Linked DNA regions of Saccharomyces cerevisiae S288C. The protein of the gene in region 2 interacts with the protein of the main gene of each other region in a pairwise test. Each region holds a gene or a part of one and is shown on either strand. Other genes may lie near its edges. The genes, in order: PEX9 and MLS1.

Region 1 (11,882 bases), on a different chromosome or scaffold from region 2:
TTGAGGAAAGCTTTGAGCAATTCTTTGAACCACAGAATCATAGTTCAAAGCAAAGGCGTTCCTTCCTTGGTGACCGAAGTATGTATCCTTGGCACTCAAAAGCTTCCAATCTAAGCCGTGCCACAATTCCAGATATCGACAGAGTTGTGGCAAATATCTTATTTGGTCATTTGTGAGAAATTGGCGTCTTTGTAGTAAGTATTTCATTACTAATTGAAAAAAGGAGCAATCTGAAACTCCTAAGTGTTGATGGAATTCTAACTCTGCGAATTTGCTCATTTCATTGTCCACAATTTCAAGAAGCAGTTCCTTGTCATGGTCTACCCTTCCACGTTCTTCGTCGATATAAATAAAATTATCGTCATCAAAAACAAACCTCGTTCTCCCATCATTCAAACTCAGTTGAGCCTCTTCCAAAAATAAAGGGTTTGTCAACGTATCATGGTGCCAGCTAGCACCTATATCATATTTCCGACCTTGATAGCCTGTGACAGTTTGCAACCTACCACCGACCCGATCTCTGGCCTCAAGAACAAGACAATCTTGAATACCGTTTTGGTGTAGCGTAGATGCAGCTTTAAGCCCAGCAATACCGGCACCAATTATAATAACCTTTTTTTTGGCTGGTGAAACTGTATTCATTCTCACACGACCACTGTTTTTGCCTTTATTAACTCACTTCTTGTTGGGAACAAAAAAAGAAAAACAGAAATAAAAAACTGCAGCAGAGCAAATTTGAAAATAGTTACCATGGTTTAAAAAAACTCCTCTTTTATATCTTTAGGATACCAAAAATTGTCTATTGTTTAAAAGATCTCATAGCGTGACATCCGTATATGGGTGGGTGACCCGAAATTTGAGCCTCCTTCTTGTAAAACGAGAGTTTGTCATAGCAACGGACCAACATGTGGTAAGGTGAGGTTGACTCAATTTTTTCAACATCTTATATACAATATAATAATATGTAGGTAAACGTGTCCATAAAATGGTTTTATGGAATAGAAAAAGAATCCTTATGCAAAATTTTGGTCAAACCATAATAAATTGGAAAATAAATCATCATCAAACACATTAGGAGAGTTCCCTATTTTACTGACAGTATCAAGAACATCTGAGGGCAATCCAGTATCAGTACCTAGATTTGCTACTGCACTTTCCGGAGAAATTGCGATTGAACCGTCGAAGTTAGTGGTATTATGAGACCTAGTAGCTAATGGTACTCTTTTGCTATTGTTATGTGGATTTTCTTGTCTTTCATCAGCATTTTCTTCTCTTTCACCAGCATCAACTTCAACATCCGCATCATTATCGCCAACTTTCTTGAACTGCTCAAACTTATTTCTATTAGGGGTGTCATCACCATGATCAGTTCCGAGAGTAGCTTCCAATTGCAAAGCAGAATCTCTCAGTCGTATGCAGAACATATGATTCAGCATTTTCAAACACCACAAGCACTCAGGAAGCATTGAAGGCCGATTTTTTGGCTTAGAGCACTCTAAGGTTCGCCATATTTCTTGGCAGCTTTGCATGATAGCTTTATTTTGAGTTACGGCAATCCCTGCGTGCAGGTAGATAATACATATTAAATTTACCGTGAATAGTTGAGAAAGGTTTAACCACCACGGAACAAAGAAAAGATTACTTCTCGTAATTTCAGCCAAATTTTCAATAGCCATTTGACAATGAGAAATTAACAATTCAGTATCGACGACATATTCTAGGGATTTATTATTTGCGGTAGATGAGGGGGCGATTAGACAAAATAATTGTCTTACTTCGAAAGTCAGCCTTATATCCAGGTATGTCATGAATGGTTGAACTTGATAGAAGTAACGATAATTGTCGTCGTACGCATTGGTTTGACTTCCAACTATAAAGGTGTCATACCATTGACCAAGTTGGCTGCGCAATTGCACGGTCTCGTTCAAATTTAAATCCTGTGCGTCTCTTTTTAAAAACTGTGTCACTATTATGGACAAATCAAGCATTTGAAAAGTCTCTTCGTGAAACCAATCATCTTCTTCTTGTAAAAATTTCTTTGACTTCACTAGATTCATCTGTTCGCACATCTCGCTCGCGGGTAATGATAGTTGGTAGAATCGACCCATTTGAAAACTTATCAACTTATCCATTATAAAACAACACCAGAAACAATGCCATGCTTTTGATTCATCATAAGTGGAATGGATCTCAGGAAATTTGTTTAAATATAGACTCATCCCATTACACATGTTCACCGCTTGACTTAACGCGTTCCAGCACGCCGTCTGTCTGTAACAGGTTCTGAAATAGAAGGTTATCAAAAGCCACGATTGTATTAGTTCGAATGATTCCCACTCAAAGGTCAGCGTGTTGATTATTAAATAAGCGTATTTGAATAAATTTTCCTCTATGGAGGGTTTTTTGATCAAAATAGATTTTTCCTCGAATGTGATATTTAAGGATGTGTTACTGTAGGTTCCTTGCCCTTTCTGACCATCTAGATGCCCTTCTCTGAATCTTAGTGTAGTAGACAAAATTAGATAAAGCATGGAAGTGAATAGATTCGCAGATGAATTATTTTGTTTACCTTGCCGTAGAAATTTATTGTTATATTGCTGCCAAAATGTCGCTTCGTGAATGATACTGAAAACAGGATTGATCTCATCAAAATAATACCTTAGTAACTTATTGATTAAGGATAAGTGAACAGGGTCATCAAAGTCGAAAAATTTAGACTCATGCCTTATATTTTTTTCTTGGCTTCTAAAGTCACCCTTATACTTTAAGTAATGGCCTCCTGACAAGTTCCAACCATAGTTTTGAACTCTTGGCCTTTTCAACTTCGCGTACTCTATTGTCTGCGGAGATAGATCCTTTAAAATAGATACACCAAGGTAATAGGGCAGAATATTTTGGTAGCGTCGGTGAAACCTATACTTATCTAAAGAAAATGTCTGCCAGGGTGATTCAAAGTGATCATTAACAGTGTTAGTTATTTGAGAGTTGATTATCTTATTCTCTTTAGAATTGATGTTGTTATTATGAAGAGCCTCTGCAGAGTCACATATTGCAGACCTGTGATTCGTGTCACAGTCTTCCTGACTATTTTTCATGTTGACCACTGTCGGGTTTGCATTCACATCACTAGCATTGGTTCTAGTTGTTCTAATTGACGATTCCTTGGTCGTATTCCCCAATTTTGAACTCAATTGCAGAAGTAATTTAGCCATGTGATCCTCCGGAAAACTGTTATTGTTATTTTCTCCATTTAAGTTGCTTCCGGAATGGAATGTATGGTTTGGCCTACCGCTCATGAAGGGTAAAGTGGATGATATATGATGATAATGTGAATTTGGATTGGGAGAGTTGCTAGCAGACGAAGATACACCATCTGAGGGGGCATTTATGATAATATTTGATTTACTTAACAAGTCCCTAGGAAAAGACTCACTGGTTTCTGCATATGTCTTACTAACGTCCCGAACAGCTGATGCGACCTGTCGTCTTCTTCTTTTACGGTTTGTAGCTTTGAAATCATAACGGCATTCTTTTTGATGTTTAGAGCAGTTCAGACAAGGATTGTTACCGTCGCATTTAACCTTTCTCTTCTTGCAAAGTTCACAAGCTTTTTGAACCCTGAGTCTACCTTTTCCATTTTCTTTACTTGCGGCTGTACTAGTATCAAGTGCATCATCAGTATTCCCGATAGCTGTCATTTCTCTGAACCGTTCCTTTCTATTAGTATGGGCCCATGTCCTATCAATTTGCCGACTTCGTGCTAAAAAAAACTGAAGGAGAACAATCACTACGATGATGAGCTTGATTGCTACTGAACGATGCTCAAATACAAGTATATAATATATTTCATGATTGATACTCATGTTCAGCCGGGTATCTTTTTTCTTTGTTTTGAGAGGCTGACGGTGACTCTTTTAATTTGAACAAGGAAATGTATCATGCACGTATGACAGAGAGAAATAGTAGTACAAAAATCAAATATTACGTGAATACGTGAGATGAATAGCCGATATTAAGTAGATAATGAGAGGTTTCAGACGAAGCACATAGTAAACTCAGAAATATGCACTTGCGCGATAAAGTGAAATTACCTTCATATTCTTGCAAGAGGAACTTATATTTTTGAGAAGAACTAGCATAAGCTTGCTGTGTTTAGTGTTCCTTTACGCAATTAGCTTTTCGAACGTCCAATAGCATATTTGGTTTGTTTCAGCTTTAATTTTTTTTATTTTGAATGCACTATATAGCAAAAAAATTAACTAAAACCTAATCCATTTTGTTATAAATAGCTTTTAAGGTTGATATTAACGATTCTGTATTATGAGAACCATTTATTAGATCAAGTGAATCAAAATTTTTTGAAGCGATGAGAGCATTTTTTAAATTTTGCATAAATTTGTTTTGCATTTTTGCTTTGTTGTGTTCATATCCTTTACTTCGTAACAGTATAACTTCGATTAGCATTTTGCTTGCTTTTACATAGTCACCCTTATTCATGTAGGCGATCGCTAAATTATAACGAACCCTTGTAAAATTCGGTCTTAGTTGTTTGCATTTATTGTACGCATTTATCGCAGAGTGATACGACTTAGTATTGGCCAAAATAGCACCATATCTATTCCATATTGTTCCATTATTGGGCTTTTCCAGTAGTAAAAACTCTAAGCATTTCTGAGATTGCTTTATTTTCTGATCCGAATAATATAAGATTGATAATACTGAATATATATCATACTGATCTTTTTTTTCTATACCCATATTCAACAGGGATTCTAGAATATGCGCCAAATGGGCCTTTTTCGGAATTTTATTAATGCTATCTTTGTTTTCCCCCGCAGAAGGTTGGAAAACCTTCGAAAATTTTGAAAGAATCCATTTGTGAAAAAGTTTCAATGACTCTGATTCATTTTGTTGATTTATATGGTGAATTGCTAAGTTTTCCAATGCAATTGTATTATTTGGATCCAAATTTAAGCAATTTCGCAAAGCAAGCTCTCCATTGCTTTCGCTTTCATTTTCAAAATTAACTATACCTAACTTCAACCATGCATTTATATGGCTTGGATCTTGTGAAATGGCTGCTTCAAAGGCCATTACTACTTCGTTCAAATTGGAACCGTTGTCCATTAGTACACATCCTATTTTATATGGGTCCCGTTCCGTTATGTAGATGTTTGATTTTAGGAATTGATATGTTTGTGGTACGGATGACAGCATATGCATGAAATCAATTGTTTCTTCGTATTCTGCCACATATTCATAACCAACAGTTTTTTCTTCTACATTGTTTTCTATCTTTAGCTCATTTAGTAACTGATTTTCGATTGATTTGAACTGAAATTCCCAGCCATTAGAAACAGATGAGTGTTCATTGTAAGATATTCGACAAGGATATATACGATTTTGCTGATATGCCGTACTATAATATTGTGCAAAGTACCTATTGTGCAAATTAGCGGAGCGTTTCTCATGTTTGTTTCTACTGGGCTTGGTCACATCAGCATTTTTATTCTTGGGGAAACAAGAGAATTCCTTTGACCACTGGTTCTCAAGTCTTGAAAATTCTTTTTCGCTGACACCACTATGTTGAGATTTATCTGCCGGTAGTGCGGCCCGAAAATCTATCTTACCAATACTGCTGCCGGTTTGACAATTGGTAAAGATGTAATCTATTGTTCTAGCATCTCGCGCGGCGCTATCGTTAGTCTGAAAATCAGAGAATTTACCCAGATTATTCCATTTCAAGCCTAATCCATTGTTGATCTTATGAATTGGGTTGTCACCAGTTATGGAACAAGTAACTTCGTTCATCGTGCTTACAAAAGGTACCCTTTATTCTTAATGATTCTCCACTCAAAAAAAAAGAATAAAATAAAATAAAACGGATAAGAGTACGAAAAAAAGTGATGACCTTTTCTTTATTTATTGCCACTGTTTGGGTGAGAATATTGGGGTAAGAGCGCTTTGCCCCAAGTTTTCTGTACGATTTCAATGCGTATCAATCATCCTCTCCGGCGTTAGTAAGGTACTACCAAGGCCTCTACCGTTCCCAGGAAACTCTTCGGGTTTTGTCTGCGCCGCGCCGCTCTGATTGCTTTTCTTTTGGCGGCTATTTAAGTTCCCAGGTGCACATCAAAACCGGCAGGAAGCAAAGTAAATTAAGTTTGCACTTACAAACCCAAATAAGATCTCAATGTATTGCGTGCGCTCATATTCACATATGCGCAGGAACAATCTTGTCATATCTGAATCAGGCTGACGCATCCATGTCGTGTACATTTCTTGTAGGCTTGAAACTTGAACGGTACGAGAAACAAATTGGAAACGAATAAAAAAGTAAGAGAAGGAGGACATCCTCGTCCAAGTTGCGGTATGTATGCGGCAATGAACTACTCCGAAAAAATGCGGAAAAGAGGCATATTTGACCCAAAGCAGTAAAGAGTTTCGTTATATCAACCGTGGCGGGATAGCATTCGGTGGTCTGACAATTAATAGGATGATCGGGCTAGGGCTGGGCTTGTGGAAAAAAGGATAGTAAAAATTTTCTCTAGTAGCATACGATGTGATGCTTCCAATTTTCAGAACATGTTTGTACAATAACTCTATTATTGATTTTTTTTTTTACTAATATCGTTTGTAGGGTAGAATTATTCTTACTAAATATCCTTTTCAACTTAAACATATACGGACGCTTGAGATACACTCTTGTCTTAATCCGCTCGATCTTGGTAAGGGCGTTGTGACGCTTAATATAAAAGGCAAGCGCAGAATATAATTTTTCCGCAGCATAAGCACCCAATCAAGACAATTCTATAGGAATAGTGTGGCATACGCAGTGATTACCGGAAACCCTTCATAATGTTTTCCTTTTTCCCAACAAGATTGAACTTTGATATCGTTTTGTAACTAAAATCTTTTTTGACAAATGAAATTATATGAATTATAACTTATCAACTTTATGAGAAGCAAGTAGACTTGGTACTGTAAAAAATATAGTCCCACGACAGCGGTATCTATCTTTCTTACCCTCTTTTACTTTTCACAAAATCATGTTGATTTTTCAGTTAACCCAGTTTAAGATCATGAATGGAACGGGAAACAAATACGTAACAACTGGGAAAAACAAACCTGCCGATGTTTGAATGCACTTTATTTATGGGAAAGAGAAAGCTTTGTCTGACAACTCCGAAAGAAAATACAAAGAAGAATTGAGACCTTCAGTACTAATGTCCCCCTCGCTCTTTTTTTTTTCTCTTTCGCAAGAATATCTGCGTATGCCTTTTTAGAAACTATTTATTCAATATATTTATACACGATATTTTGTGTGTATAACAGATCACCATCTTTTCCCGATCACTTTCTCCAATCTATATCGCTTGGCCTGTAAAGCATTATCTGCCTGCTGTACATTGTTCTCGATGTCAAACATTCTAGTGTTTTGTGCTTCAAACTCTCTGCCAAAAGCGTGAGCCATAATTTTCAAGTCACCACTCACCGCTTTTATTTGTTCTAGGTTTCCGTACAAGTCGATTTCCATTTGGTTATCTTCTTCATCGGCTTCAAACTGATACTTCTGGGCATCTCTAAGAATACGCTGTCTTTCCACCCCTTGGCCATACCGTCCATATTCAGAACTTAGATTTATGGCTAAATTTTTGTCAGAATCTTGGGCTCTTTTCATAGTTTCTTGCTGTAAGTGACGATGCTTTAACTTCAAATTGTAGATCTGGTCTCGCTTTTCTCTCTCCCTTTTCTTCCTGAAGGGGTTGGGTGATTTTAATGCAAGCAGGCTTCTATTTTCATGGGCAAGTTCGTCAATCTTTCGGTCGGCTACGTTAGATTGAATTTTAAGCATGTCACAATTGCTCTCGATCTTGGTGAGTTGGTTGCTCTGACAACTTAGTTGTTGAAGAACTCTCTTTCCAGTACATCGAGCCTCTATAGCTTTTTCAAGTGTTCTGCTTGTCGTTTTTACAGATTTTAATTTAGTGCTTCTAATCTCGGACCTGAGTCTATCAACTATTTCATCCTCCTCAGGCTGGACATTCTCTAAGTTATATTGACTTTCAACTTTTCTCCACTGTGGATAGTCATTCTCATTTGCAAAATTTCCCAAATCTCTGTGAATAACGCTATCTGTTTCTCCCAAGTTTTCTTCAGGTATTTGGCACCTGTTGGACTTTGGAAAAACCTCTTCTAACGAAATAGTAGCAAGGCCATCCCTTTCGGGCACCTCATAAGAGACGCATTTATCATCACTAGTCTTAGTGGCGTCATCGAACCGACAGTTTGGGTGAAGTTGTTTGTGGATTTTATTCCTCAAGGATTTAAGCTTCACATGTAGCCTATCACGTCTTCTGCTTCCTGAACAATTGTCCATCCTGAAGGGTGATAAATATTTTGTTTCATGGGATCCTGTAATATTGGAAATAAGTACATAGCGATGATTTTGCAACTTCAGGTTCTTATGGTGCTGATTATGGTGGCGACTGTGATGCGATTTGCTAGCAAGTATTTTTCTGAACCCCATTATATATCTAAAAATGGCTATTCACAAACGGAAAAATCTAAAGTAATAAAAAAATAATAGTGTTAACAGAGAAGGTTTATCAGTAGCTAAAGCGAGCAAATTACTGGTTAACTTATCGTATTTTCCGTACTGTGGTGAATCTTATGCAAAATGAACCTGGCTTTGGCGGGAGTTTTTTTTTATGTGACACAATGGCCTTTTGCCGGTGGTAAATACGCGCTTCAAAAAGGTTGTTACACAGCGGCACATTAGCATGACACAATCTTGATCCTTTACAATTACTACACCGCCAAGTATAAAGCTTTTCCCAACCAACGTGTTTGCCAAGTAATTTTGTGTAGAGTGCGGCTGACTAACAGCCTTAACCGGGTACTCTGTTCCCTGCATTTGCATAAAAACTACAAAGAAAAGAAAGAAGGAAATACTCCGAACCAAAGAGATACAACAAGAATACTTCTCTCATTACATCGGCACCTTCCTGGGGATTAATTCCTTACAAGCGCTGAAAAAATGAAGAGATGATTCCGTACTTCAACAATGGCTTTTAACCTTATTACCCCAAGAGAGTGTCTACAGAATTAAGGCCCATTTAATTTTTACCTTCCTGTTCCTGCATAACAGACACCCCTTACCCGCATCAACAGGAGGGGAGGAAACATTGCCAATATGTCTGCGAATTGTGACAACCAATCCGCATGCACGGTGGGGGGCGGTTGAAAGCGCCTAGACTTCCCTTTTTTGGATTGCTACGTCACCTTCGCAGCGTGCACCAGGTGCATTCACCACACGAAAAGATGCGAAAGCACACCAAGCGCGAAATTCCGGTTTTTGGCTTGTTTGTTTCGGGCTCCGCCTCATCGTCTTAGCAAATCTAGACCTTGTTGAAAAATCGTGCAGGGACTCCGTACCTGCACAAGCAACGCGGCATAATACATGTAGGGATACAGCAAAGATATTGTTTCTGAATGGGCAAAACATTGCTTTCCGCAAACGGCTTTTTCTTCTCTTTCCCACCACCGTGGGTCACCTTTTTCTTGCGCCTCTTATGCCAACACACTCTTCCCGTGATGCGAATGGTAAAGAAGTTAACAAAAAACACAAAAAATTCATATTCCGATTTCTCTGCAAAGAAGCCTGAGCGGGAACTGCATGTCCGCTTGACTTGTCTTCCCTCCGGTTAGCTGTGCCTGCAGGGAAACCGCAGTAGAAGGACTGCGGAAGGATCTTTTCCCGCCGTTGATGTAATCTTTAAAGTTAATTTTTCCCTCACACAGTTTGCATTTTTCCCGCATGTTGTCCGGTTTTTCTTTCTTTTGTTGCTTTTTCTTCCGTGGGCCTGACGGAACATTCCAAGTTGAGTGCGATCTGACTAAGGAACTAGTAGAGGCTACCGCTCAGTAAGTTTAACAGTCGGCTAAGCATCGATCATCTCATTCTTTGCCTTCACTCAGTTCTTCGCAATAGTACAGTGCTGCGCAATAGACGCACGTATCAGTGATGTATTCTTTCTCTTGTCTTCACATAAAAAGTACGTAGATGTGTTGCCCGTTTGTGTTTTATTAACTTATCGAATGTGGCAAGCCGACGATACAAAAGAAAAAAGTTCATCTTTAACACTTCTTTTTGTTAGTTTTTGAAGTTTTTCCCCACTATCTTTTGCATTAGTTGTGTGTGCCTGTGCGTGTGTAAGCCTTCTAGTATAGTTGATAATCCTTTTCCATAGCTTTTTATATTGCAAGCAGAGAGATATCATTTTGTGCTGTTTTCATTAAACATACTTCACAATTGTATAAAAAAAAAAAACCTTTTTGATCTTTGTTTTCAGAAATTGAAAGTGGATTTGTTAAGCACAGTACAAAATCATCCTTATATAACCCTGGTAAGGTCCTTTTGTCATGCCCATCGGTAACCCAATCAATACGAATGATATCAAGTCCAACCGCATGCGCCAGGAATCAAATATGAGTGCCGTGAGCAATAGCGAAAGTACTATTGGCCAGTCCACCCAACAGCAGCAGCAACAACAACAATATCTCGGCCAGAGCGTTCAACCTCTGATGCCCGTATCCTACCAATACGTAGTTCCTGAACAGTGGCCGTACCCGCAATATTATCAGCAGCCGCAATCCCAGTCTCAACAGCAACTGCAATCCCAGCCTCAGATGTATCAAGTTCAAGAATCCTTTCAGAGTAGCGGTTCTGACTCAAATGCTTCCAATCCACCTTCCACGTCTGTAGGTGTTCCTTCCAACGCTACTGCAACTGCGTTACCGAATGGTTCTGCAATCACCACCAAAAAAAGCAATAACAGTACTAATATCAGTAACAATGTACCATACTACTATTATTTTCCCCAAATGCAAGCCCAACAATCAATGGCATATTCGTATCCACAAGCGTATTATTATTATCCTGCAAACGGCGATGGAACCACTAACGGTGCAACACCATCTGTAACCAGTAATCAAGTCCAAAACCCCAATTTGGAAAAAACCTACTCAACCTTTGAACAACAGCAACAACACCAGCAGCAACAACAATTACAAGCTCAAACGTATCCGGCCCAACCACCAAAGATAGGTAATGCATTTTCAAAGTTCAGTAAATCTGGACCACCTTCTGATTCGTCCAGTGGCTCTATGTCTCCCAATTCTAATCGCACTAGTCGCAATAGTAATAGTATCTCGTCCTTAGCTCAGCAGCCTCCAATGTCAAACTATCCACAACCTTCCACCTACCAATACCCCGGTTTTCACAAGACTTCGTCAATTCCAAACTCGCATTCTCCAATTCCTCCAAGATCATTAACAACGCCAACTCAAGGTCCAACCAGCCAAAATGGACCTTTAAGCTACAATCTTCCGCAAGTGGGTTTGCTACCGCCTCAGCAACAACAACAGGTGAGCCCGTTGTATGATGGAAATTCTATAACTCCACCAGTTAAACCCTCTACTGATCAAGAAACTTATTTAACTGCAAATAGGCACGGAGTGTCAGATCAACAGTATGACTCAATGGCTAAAACCATGAATTCTTTCCAAACAACTACCATAAGGCACCCGATGCCCTTAATCGCCACTACCAATGCCACAGGCAGTAACACCAGCGGCACTTCGGCAAGTATAATAAGGCCAAGAGTAACAACAACAATGTGGGAGGATGAAAAAACGCTATGTTATCAGGTAGAAGCTAACGGTATTTCAGTGGTAAGAAGAGCAGATAATGATATGGTTAATGGTACCAAACTTCTGAATGTAACTAAGATGACAAGAGGTAGAAGAGATGGTATTCTAAAAGCGGAAAAAATCAGGCATGTGGTGAAGATTGGTTCCATGCATTTGAAGGGTGTCTG
Region 2 (11,882 bases):
CTGCCTGTTACCGCCGTAACCACCACGGCCACCACCGTAACCACCTCTACGGCCATAGCCACCACGACCACCACGACCACCACCGTATCTTGGGTGACCGCCACCATAAGATCTCCTGTCGTATTTCAATAATTCGGGAGGAATATTTTGATTAGCTTCTCTCATGATAGAGATTAATTTAGCACCTAAACCTTTGTTTTGTTCGGTGAAGAAAGATATAGCAGTACCAGTAGCACCTGCTCTACCAGTTCTACCGATTCTGTGAACATAATCTTCAATGTTACCTGGCATATCGTAGTTGATAACGTAATTGATACCTTTGACATCTGAAAAAATAAAGAAGTAAACAAACGTTTACAAAGCATACTGTTAGTAATTTGGTTCGTTATTCTGTATATGAACTTTATTTTCATGCCCCCCACAAATTCATGTTTGGACTCCCAACATTGTCTCAAATTTCCCCCTGGCTTGAAGATTATCAGAAATTATATTTTTATTAAAGAATTCGAAATATTTAATCATCAATACTCCAGAATCCTTATTCAAACTGAATGAAAGCTAGCACTTAAAAAAAGGAAAACAAAGTAAATGATTTCTGAATATGGTTGAAATCCTTTTATTTTGTTATTTTCCATTTTTATCAGCACTTCTTAATAATTCGAACTTGGGATGCAACAGTATCTCAATATAACTACAAAATGCATAAACTACACAAAATGAGAATAACAATAGTCAAGAAGGATGACGGCATTTCAAAGTAGAATATACTATTATTTTTCCAATAAAACAATCTACCCTTGTACAAATGCCAAGCATTGAAAAAAACAACGATCAACGAAGCGTATGTATGCGTTCTAGAAATAAGCTGAAAAGCCAATTCCTTGTTTATTTGCGCCGATGTCAAAAAGCGAAATTTCTTTTGACATGAAGTGCAAATCATGAACACAAATACACTTCTCCGAGTTTATAATTTCCCGTCTCTCAAAACGACTAATTAAAGTCAATTTTTCTCATCCTCCCAATATTAGTTTTCTGTAGTGATGCATTAGAAGTCATTCGAATTAAAATTCAATTTCCGATACTCCCCATCGAGAATAGACTCACATAGAGTCTAGATTCGAAAAGGCTCAAAAAAAAAAAAAAGAAAAAAAGAAAAAAAAAAAAAAAAGAAAAAAAAAAAAAAAAGAAAAAAGGTCTCTCTTCTGTACTATCATGGTTGTCATAAAGTCATTAATGTCATTAAAAGCCATTAGGAAATAGCTGTAATATCGTTAGGGGTAACAAAAAAAAATAAAATCAATAAAAAAATGGAGAAAATTTTAACATACCGATACCTCTGGCGGCCACATCAGTAGCAACCATAATTGGGGATCTACCGTTTCTAAACTCTTGTAGAACCCAGTCACGTTCTCTTTGGTCTTTGTCACCATGAATAGCCAAGGCGGGCCATCCATCTTCTCTTAGATACTTGGTGATATCATCGCACATTCTTTTCGTAGAAGCAAAGATTAATGTCTTGTATTCGTTGTCTTGAGAGGCTGTTTCTAAGTACTTGTTCAAACGATCTCTCTTTTCGAAATCAGAAACAACTTCGACGATCTGAGTAATATTATGGGAGGCAGATAGTTCTAGAGAACCAACTTGAACTTGAATTGGATCATTCAAGTAATCAGCGGCTAGTTGCTTCACCTCCTTTGGCCAAGTGGCAGACCACATCAAGGTTTGTCTATCAGGTCTGATTTGATCAACAATCTTTCTGATTTGAGGTTCAAAACCCATATCTAACATTCTATCAGCTTCATCAAGAACCAGGTAAGTGACTCTCTTCAAATTAGTCTTACCAATCTCTAGCATATCAATTAGTCGACCTGGAGTAGCAATAACAATTTCAGAGCCACGAGATAAATCTCTGATTTGTTGACTTTTTGGAACACCACCGTAGACACAGGTATTTCTGATTCTGGAACTATGACCAAACTTGGAACATTCTGTTTGAATTTGAACAGCCAATTCTCTAGTTGGAGCCAAAACCAAAACAATTGGTCCATCGCCTGGAGCCAATAATGGTTGAGCGTTGATATGAACAATACCTGGTAAACAATAAGACAAAGTCTTACCGGAACCAGTGGCAGCAATACCAACCATGTCCCTACCAGATAAAGCCATTGGCCAACCCTGACATTGAATGCCAGTTGGTTTGTCAAATCCTTCAGCCTTCACTTCATTCAAAACGTAGTCTGGGAAACCAGCTTCATCGAAAGTGGTGATTGGCTTTGGAATATCGTGTCCGGAAATAGTCATTTCATTTTCCTTTCTGAACTGAGCAATCTCACTGTCCGATCTGTCGCGAACACTTTCGTGTTCAACATAGAAATTCTTTTCGAAAGTTGGCAATTTGGGTAATTCTTCATCCCAGTTTGGTTTGATCAATTCCTGGGGTTGGTTGTAATTGGAACGACCACCGAAACCACCACGGTAGTTACCGCCTTGTGGTCTGTCATTGTAAGAGTTTCTATCAGAGTTTCTTCCACCGCGGAAGTCGCCACCTCTAGACTTGTAGTTAGTCTTGTTATATTGCTGATCTCTACCACCGTAAGTCATATTTGCTCTAAATTTGCCTTAATAGTGCTTAATTCTGTTACAGGTTGTTGACAAGAAAATAATTTGAATGAGATACAGAAAAGTATAAGTTATTTGAGCGTAGGACAGTCTTTTTATAAGACAAATAAACTGAAGGAAAAATTTTCTGCGATGAGCATCGGCGTAAAAAAAAAAAAAAAAAAAAAAAAAAGAAATAAAAAAAGAAATAAATTTTTCAATCATTCAATACGGAATACGCCTTTAAAAAGGAATTTCGAATTCTCAACATTATTAGCACCTTGTACGAAGGTGTATTTTTATCTGGTTATATTATACATAGATTTTAAATAGCACGACTATAAACGGGATACACAAATCAAGCTGTATCTATACTAGCGTGGTGTGCATAATTATTAGAAATTTCAGAGTGACAGAGGGTCTTTGAGTCGATCCGTAACATCTACATGCTCTTGATTTTTTCAGTAAACTTAGATTCTACAACGTCACATAAATCCATCAAGTCCTTTAGCCCTTTTTGAAGAGCATCCACCGCGGTCGTTTCACCGTAGGTTTGAATTCTGATATTTAATAGGTTTTCAGAAGGATGAGGTATCGAGTAACCACAAAATTCTACGTCTGGATTTTTCATTATAACGTAACGAAGGGCATTTCCAAGCGTGTGATCCTCCTCTACAATTTGAAAAGAGGCACTAGTTCCATCTTCAGATGTTGCCTGTGTGAGAAGCTTAATTTTTTCCCTGTCTGGTTCCTCTTCCTGTTCTTCATCGCCAGTCATATCAACATCCTGTTCTTCTTCTTCTTGGATGTGCTTTGGTTCTTGTGGTGTTACCTCTGTAGCGGTCTTTTTTTGTTCGATGTCTTCAGTCATTTGCCTGGTACTTTATGTGAAGTTCAATTTTTCCGACTTTGGATTGATGGCCTTTCCCCAATTCGTTACTTTATACCTCAGCATTAGTATGGTTTTCTTTTGAAATTTTTTTTTTTTCCAGCTCATCGCAGGTGAATATTTCTATCACTTGTTACGTTTACCATTACCCGGATTGAAGTAAATATGATTCACCCCAATAAAGCTGTACAGAAGAGATAAGATGTAGCTTTATTAGAACAAAGTTTATCACGTTGTTGGTACTTAGAATAATCTATGATATTGTTGCGTCTTTTTGAATAAGCTTTCTTGCGTGCCGTTTTTTTCGGTTTTTTTTTATATTTCTGCCCAAAAAACGTAGTTCAAAGAAAAGGAACTATCCCAAAATAGAAGCAAGTTATGTTTAAGGAATTAAAAAATGTACCTATAAAGCACGTTTTTCTGATATGTATATGCCTATGTAATGTAGAAGTTGTCGAATCAGCAATCGTATTGGTCAACCTTGATGGCATGTTCTCAGCACGTTTTGAAGTGGCTATGCATATATAGTGTTCTTTAATCTATTCCTTGCAAGGCTATTCGGACCCCTAATTTTAACCATCGTGCAGTTTAAAGGGATGAGAGAAAAACTAAAAGTTAGATGCCTTGCTATATTCTATAAGGAGGAAAGGAAAGGAAAGCCATTGAAGAAAGAACTGTAGGCATCAGAGCGAACAGATCATGAAGGCTAATGGTTTAGATAATGATCCGGCAAGGACGGGAATGGAAAGAACAGATATAGATAGTGAACACCCAGAAGCGCAACCGTTGCTGAACAACAACCACCGGACCCTTGGTGCAGGATCCGCGAATGGCCCAGCAGTTAATGAAGGTCGTGACATTGAATCCGATGGGTTCATCAAAGATAGTCTCTTTCAAATTCGCAAAGGTTATAGAATCTTTATTCATAACTCCAAATGGATATTAAATATCCTAATTCTAATTAACACCATCTGGCTAGTCACCACTTTGATTTCAGATTTCTTTTTCAATATCAATATTCTTTTCGGATTCAGTAACAGGTACGCAAGTTTTAACGACTTGACTTTAATATTCATCTCGATCATAGCTAATTCTTTCAATCTCTGGTTTAATAAGCTGGGACTGTACTCAGCTTTAGATTACAGCTTAAATGTAACTCTCTGTGTTTTGACGTTGTTCAATCTAGCATTGACCTATCTAATTAAATACACTAGGCAAAGAATCGGCTTTGTGGGCACGTTTACATATTTGTGGACTTCGTTTTCATTTTTTATTGGGGCAATATTAGATTGGTATCTCTTGTTTTACAACAACTCAATAAATGAGCCATTGGAGGAACGCAGAATTGATGATGCTAATATTAGTACTTTCAACGAAAACCATACAAATAGTACCGAAAACAGGGACAGAAGCCAATATGGCTCTGGGTCGCCAACCCCCACCCACCGCTCGCAGCTGGTCCAAAACAAACATACATTGACAGAATGGGTATCCATTGGGTTCAGGAATACTATTAAGTTTTTAATTTTAATATTCTTCGCTTTATTCACCCTGAATACACTTTTAACGACATTGGATACCTACAGATTGACTCACAAATTACCAATAACCGTTCAGTCGCCCTCGTACGAGGCGTTCCATTACGTAGATGCCGCTAAAACCTATCAGTTGCATATAACTTGTTATGGTGACGTATTTGATCAAGAAAACAACACAGATTTGTCTGAAAATAAGAAGCAACCTATCATCTTGTTTGAACACGGAGGTTATGATACTGGTTACCTTTCTGCCACCTGGATTGAGGAACTATATCATTTAGACAAAATTCAAAGATATTGTCTATACGATAGACCAGGGTACGGGTTGAGCGATTCTCCTCCCGCCCCAATCTCTATTGCGATGGTTGCGGAATCTTTAAGGTACGCATTGATCAAAGATGCAAAAATTAAAGGTCCCTTCACTACAGTAGGATACGACCTTGGCGGGCTATTTACAAGAGTATTTACCGCCAAGAATGTCGATATTGTGGATAGCATGATGCTTGTTGAATCATGGCATGAAGAACTATTGTTAAAAAACTACATTCAAAGATTACTACCTCCAGGCCGTGGTGATGGCGACGATGGCGACGATGGCAATGGTAATGATGGGGATGGCCGCAACCATGATAAGACTTGGTTACCTTCGGAGATAGAAAGGCATAACGAATTTAGATTATGGTGGAAAGGCATTTGGTCGAGTTTAGGATGGAGATTACAGACTTCATGGTTACTAGCTCATCATGGGTCTAAAGAACGTATATATGGGCGTGATATGAAATATCAAGGACGTTTCTTGCGTTCCAAGTTTTTGGAAAGCGTGACGAGTTCAATTCTAAGTTACAGAGATGTGACAAACAATGCAGAATCTTTGCAAAATGTGAAGACAAGCATCGTTAGCTCTAAGGAAATGGTGAAGAAGTCGGCATTATGGGGCGATTGGCAAAGAGATTTGACCAAAATTTCTCACAAGACTCAAGAATGGAAAATAGTTGAAGGTGGGCATGAAATATATAAGTATGGTCTGGGCAAACAACAAACTCAAGAAGTCCTATTAAGATTAATAGGTGAGCTTGGCAAACTAACCGAGGATTAACCGAGTTCTTTACTTTTTTTTTAGTTTTATATGTGAAAGCAAAATTGACTGCCAACGATGGAGGTATTGTATTCCTGAAAACAATAAGTCAAATATGTAAACGGCGCAAATATATAAATACTAAGAGAATAATTAAAATAATATTAAGGTACGAGATGTGGAGTTCGGTGGTTTTTCTTTATTTTTCAAACTGTGTATTTTCTTTGACCTTAAGGATGGCTATCAACATCCTTTGAAGTTTCCATTAAGACGCTAAGTTGATCCACCAGTTGATCACCTTCACTTTCCACATCACTTTCATCTTCCTCGTCACTACTTTCAAAGGAGGCCTCCAAATCACAACTTGATCTACAGTTGGGGCAAACAAATTGCGGATATGAGAGCATGACCAATCTTCTTACACAACGGAAATGCCAGCTATGTGCGCATGGTGATATGAAAATTGCTTGACACGGTTTGATCTTACATAGGCAAATCGAACAATCTTCTTCTTCAATACCTGTAGTTAATTTTTGTAAATTCTGCAAACGCTGTAAAGCTTCTTTGTTGAACGAATTTGCCTTTAGTTTCCATGATCTATTTAGCTCAATCCTCATCCTTACACAACGATAGATTTCTTCCGTGCCACCTCTAAAATCCATTCCTAACTGTAAAATATCACCATCACGAAGAGGGGTATCTTTCGATAAAGAGGAAGCGGGTGAGAGCCTTTGGTGATTTAAGAAAGTTCCACTAGATGATTTCACATCCTTTATATACCAGTTACCTTGAGAGTCAACTTTAAAACAACCATGTGTCCTTGAAACAACTTTGGATTTAAATACAACTGGATGATATTGTTCAGGTATTTTAGAAATTGCATCGCGAACACGCTCAGTATAGCGGCCAATAACCAATTGGGATCCAGGGCCAGCCTTTCTTATAATCGGTTCAAAGAATAAACCTTGATTTGTCGTGGACGAACTATCAATAAATGGGGTTAGTCTTATACTAAAAAGACCATGCTTATCTTTCCTTTGCTTCAAAGTGACCTCATCTACATTGAACATATTGTTTGACTCCTCTGCACTTGTTGCAGGTAAATCCAAATGTAAAATTTCGGTCCCATTTGGCTGGTTTGCAGCATATATCAAGTGACGTAAATTCTTATACATTTCCTGACTGTTGTTAACAATAGTAGATCCATCTGCACCACCGACTATATTTCTCGTTGTAGCCGCTGGCGCCATGGAAATTATCGAGGTTGTGGTATTGTTAGTACCGTTAGGCTGCCGCTGATTCAAAGACTCTTGAACGTTACCAACATTGTTGCCTTCGAAATTATGCGCAGATGATTGCTGGTGGTCTGTGGTTGTAGGGGCAGTGAGAGATATGGAGATGGGGAGTTGATAGTTGCGATGAACGTGGAACTGGGCCGACAGAGGCATTTGTATAGGATGATGCAGACGTGGTTCCTGCTGTTGCGGAGCGGTATCGATACTTTCCATGGCCACACTCATATGTGAGTTAGATGGGGTTGTGCCGAATAGACGCTGATCAGGAGCCGCAGAAGAAGAAGCTGTCTGGCTATTTTGCCTAATTCCGAAGGTATTCAAAAACGAACTGATACCCGACGCCGGACGAGCCCGCTCATTGGATGGAGTACCACTGGCTCTGTTCCTTGGGTTTATGCCACTACTGCTAGTGGTGTTGGCATTTGATGCGGATGAAGAGTTGGACGTCATCGATGAAGTTGGTGCAGTGGGAGCAGGGGTATTAGCAGGGATAGGCGTGTACATTTCCACGGTATATCCTTTGCTGAAAGCTTCAAACGTATACAATGCGTTGCTATACTTTCTCGACTTCTTTTCAAATCAAAATATATGCCCACGTTTGGAGTCATCAAGTATTGTGTTTGAAATTCCACAACAATGGTTGATGCCTTCGCCGTCGACCGTGATACATTAATCTGGCCAAAACAAAAAAAGGAATCATGATAAGATGATTCATTGCTAACTACGAAACGAAGCAATATAAAGATAAGTTTTTGGATTCCGATACATAATCATATAGGCATGAATATATTTTTATATATGTGTACACTGGGGCAAGGGAGATCACAATTTGCTCAAATCAGTGGGCGTCGCCTTAGTGGACACAATTTCGTCGTACAACAATGTAGTCAAAAATTCACTGAATTTCTCGCCTCTGATTTCTGGCAAGAAATACTTAGCGGCCAGCGCGAATTTGTTCTTGTCACCCAATGGACTTGCCTTAGACAGTCTTTCCACTTGTTCTTTTAGAATCTTTTCGGTTAATTCTGGGGTGACCTTTTCTCCCGTGTCCTTTAGAGTAACACCGTGTTTCACCCATTGATACAATTGACAACGAGACACTTCAGCAGTGGCGGCGTCTTCCATCAAGTTGTTGATGGGCACACATCCAGAGCCTCTGAGCCAAGCTTCCATGTACTGCAACCCGATATCCAAGTTTTGTACAATTCCCTCGGTAGTAATCTCACCATTTGGAATTTTGGTTTCCAGCAGATTAGCAGCCGTTACAACGTTTTCAGGAATGAAATAGATTTGGTTTGGTGTTCCCATATTAATGAAAACTTCATTACAAATAGGGGCCAGTGCTGGGTGTGCAACCCATGACCCATCATGTCCATTTGTCAGCTCTCTAATCTTATCATTACGGACTTTAGTCATGGCCTTTTCATTGGCTGCCGGGTCGTCTTTGATAGGGATTTGCGCAGCCATACCACCCATGGCATGAACACCCCTCCGATGACAGGTATTGATTAATCTTTTCACGTATGCATCCATGAATGGGGAAGTCATAGTCACTTGATTTCTATTGGGCAAAATGTGATTAGGATCATTTCTTAATCTCTTGATTGTAGAGAAAATATAGTCCCAACGTCCGCAATTCAACCCACTAGAATGTTGTCTTAATTGATAGATGATCTCTTCCATTTGGAAAGCAGCAGGCAAAGTTTCAATCAACACAGTAGCTCTGATTGTACCCCTTGGGATCCCAATGTAATCTTGAGCTACACAGAAGACGTCGTTCCATAGTTTAGCTTCCAAGTGGTGCTCCATCTTTGGCAAATAGAAGTAAGGACCTTTGCCCAATTTGATTAATTCTTTGGCATTATGGTAGAAATATAAACCAAAATCAAAGATGGAAGCGCTGATTGGTTCATCATCTACATAAAGGTGCTTTTCCACCATGTGCCAACCACGGGGTCTCACGATAATAGTGGGCAAGTTGGCCACATTTCCATTCAATTTGTACGATTTTCTTGGTGTGTCAAAATCGATTTGATTTCTGATCGCGTCGTAGAGATTAACTTGACCGTAAACCATGTTGTTCCAAGTAGGTGAAGCTGAATCTTCAAAATCAGTCATATAGGTGTTCACAGGAGCATTCAAAGCGTTGATCAGCATATTTCTCAATGGAGGCCCTGTGATTTCCGTTGACCTATTAATTAACCCCGGTGCCAAAATTGGACCTTGCCAAGTGGGATCATTTCTAATATTTGCAGTTTCAGGCAGGAAATCCAGATGATAGGAGCCCGAGTCTAATTTCTTCTGAACAACTTGTCTGTTTTCCAATAATTGTTTTCTCTTGTTGTTGAAAGTTCTGTGTAAAAGAACAATGAACTCTAGAGCATCCTTGGTAAGAATATCTCCCACTGTAGTACTAGATGGTTTAAAGAAAGGCTCCTTATCAACATCCACCAGTAATTTGACGTTATCCAAACTGACCTTAACCATTTTCTTAATTCTTTTATGTGCTTTTACTACTTTGTTTAGTTCAAAACAATAGTCGTTATTCTTAGGTACTATAGCATAAGACAAGAAAAGAAAAATAAGGGACAAATAACATTAGCAGAAGTACGGTATATTTTACTGTTACTTATATACTTTCAAGAAGATGAGTTAAATCGGTAGCCAGTGTAGAAAAATAATAATAAGGGTCATCGATCCTTCGCATTTTATTATCCAATTAAAGATACGAATCACGGCAAACTATATTCAAAGCTCATAGATAATCGTCGTAAGGCTGACACTGCAGAAGAAAAGTCATAATTTGAATACTAGCCGGTATGAAACTGTGATTGATTAACCTGGGGTTACCTAAAGAGAACATAAGTAATACTCATGACAGAATCAAAACACAATACAAAATTTATCCGAACCTCGGCCCGACTGCCGGCTCGCCGGGAAAGGGGACAACCGCTTCTATCCGTCGACTAACTTCATCGGCCCAATGGAAGCTATGATATGGGGATTTCCATTGAGCCGATAGCAATGTAGGGTAATACTGTTGCGTATATAGTGATAGTTATTGAATTTTATTACCCTGCGGGAATATTGAGACATCACTAAGCACGAATTTTACGTCTGAGGAAAGTTGAATGATGGCAAAATAACCAGGAAAAACAAATATTGAATCCTTGTGAAGGATTCCACAGTTGTTTAATCCTCCTTAAGCTCACTTAGTATCAATTGTCTAAATAATATTGCTTTGAATCTGAAAAAAATAAAAGTACCTTCGCATTAGACAATGTCACTGCCGCTACGACACGCATTGGAGAACGTTACTTCTGTTGATAGAATTTTAGAGGACTTATTAGTACGTTTTATTATAAATTGTCCGAATGAAGATTTATCGAGTGTCGAGAGAGAGTTATTTCATTTTGAAGAAGCCTCATGGTTTTACACGGATTTCATCAAATTGATGAATCCAACTTTACCCTCCCTAAAGATTAAATCATTTGCTCAATTGATCATAAAACTATGTCCTCTGGTTTGGAAATGGGACATAAGAGTGGATGAGGCACTCCAGCAATTCTCCAAGTATAAGAAAAGTATACCGGTGAGGGGCGCTGCCATATTTAACGAGAACCTGAGTAAAATTTTATTGGTACAGGGTACTGAATCGGATTCTTGGTCATTCCCAAGGGGGAAGATATCTAAAGATGAAAATGACATAGATTGTTGCATTAGAGAAGTGAAAGAAGAAATTGGTTTCGATTTGACGGACTATATTGACGACAACCAATTCATTGAAAGAAATATTCAAGGTAAAAATTACAAAATATTTTTGATATCTGGTGTTTCAGAAGTCTTCAATTTTAAACCTCAAGTTAGAAATGAAATTGATAAGATAGAATGGTTCGATTTTAAGAAAATTTCTAAAACAATGTACAAATCAAATATCAAGTATTATCTGATTAATTCCATGATGAGACCCTTATCAATGTGGTTAAGGCATCAGAGGCAAATAAAAAATGAAGATCAATTGAAATCCTATGCGGAAGAACAATTGAAATTGTTGTTGGGTATCACTAAGGAGGAGCAGATTGATCCCGGTAGAGAGTTGCTGAATATGTTACATACTGCAGTGCAAGCTAACAGTAATAATAATGCGGTCTCCAACGGACAGGTACCCTCGAGCCAAGAGCTTCAGCATTTGAAAGAGCAATCAGGAGAACACAACCAACAGAAGGATCAGCAGTCATCGTTTTCTTCTCAACAACAACCTTCAATATTTCCATCTCTTTCTGAACCGTTTGCTAACAATAAGAATGTTATACCACCTACTATGCCAATGGCTAACGTATTCATGTCAAATCCTCAATTGTTTGCGACAATGAATGGCCAGCCTTTTGCACCTTTCCCATTTATGTTACCATTAACTAACAATAGTAATAGCGCTAACCCTATTCCAACTCCGGTCCCCCCTAATTTTAATGCTCCTCCGAATCCGA

What was found.
Region 1: the proteins of MLS1 (region 2) and PEX9 interact in a two-hybrid assay, tested with the Saccharomyces cerevisiae proteins (2 studies listed by BioGRID).

The regions. Positions count from the first base shown.
Region 1 is NC_001145.3:304,137-316,018, reverse strand, and holds PEX9 (Pex9p), read right to left. Parts: upstream 5,812-11,882; coding exon 4,267-5,811; downstream 1-4,266. Other genes in the region: FMS1 (polyamine oxidase), read right to left, coding at 1-642; STB4 (Stb4p), read right to left, coding at 1,014-3,863; SPO20 (Spo20p), read right to left, coding at 7,337-8,530; SOK2 (Sok2p), read left to right, coding at 10,426-11,882.
Region 2 is NC_001146.8:404,358-416,239, reverse strand, and holds MLS1 (malate synthase MLS1), read right to left. Parts: upstream 9,883-11,882; coding exon 8,218-9,882; downstream 1-8,217. Other genes in the region: DEAD-box ATP-dependent RNA helicase DBP2, read right to left, coding at 1-326, 1,329-2,601; DNA-directed RNA polymerase core subunit RPC19, read right to left, coding at 3,041-3,469; YNL115C (uncharacterized protein), read left to right, coding at 4,187-6,121; ubiquitin-conjugating protein DMA2, read right to left, coding at 6,331-7,899; DCP2 (decapping enzyme complex catalytic subunit), read left to right, coding at 10,676-11,882. UniProt on the Saccharomyces cerevisiae protein: Malate synthase which takes part in the glyoxylate cycle. MLS1 activity is essential for cells to grow on oleic acid as a sole carbon source.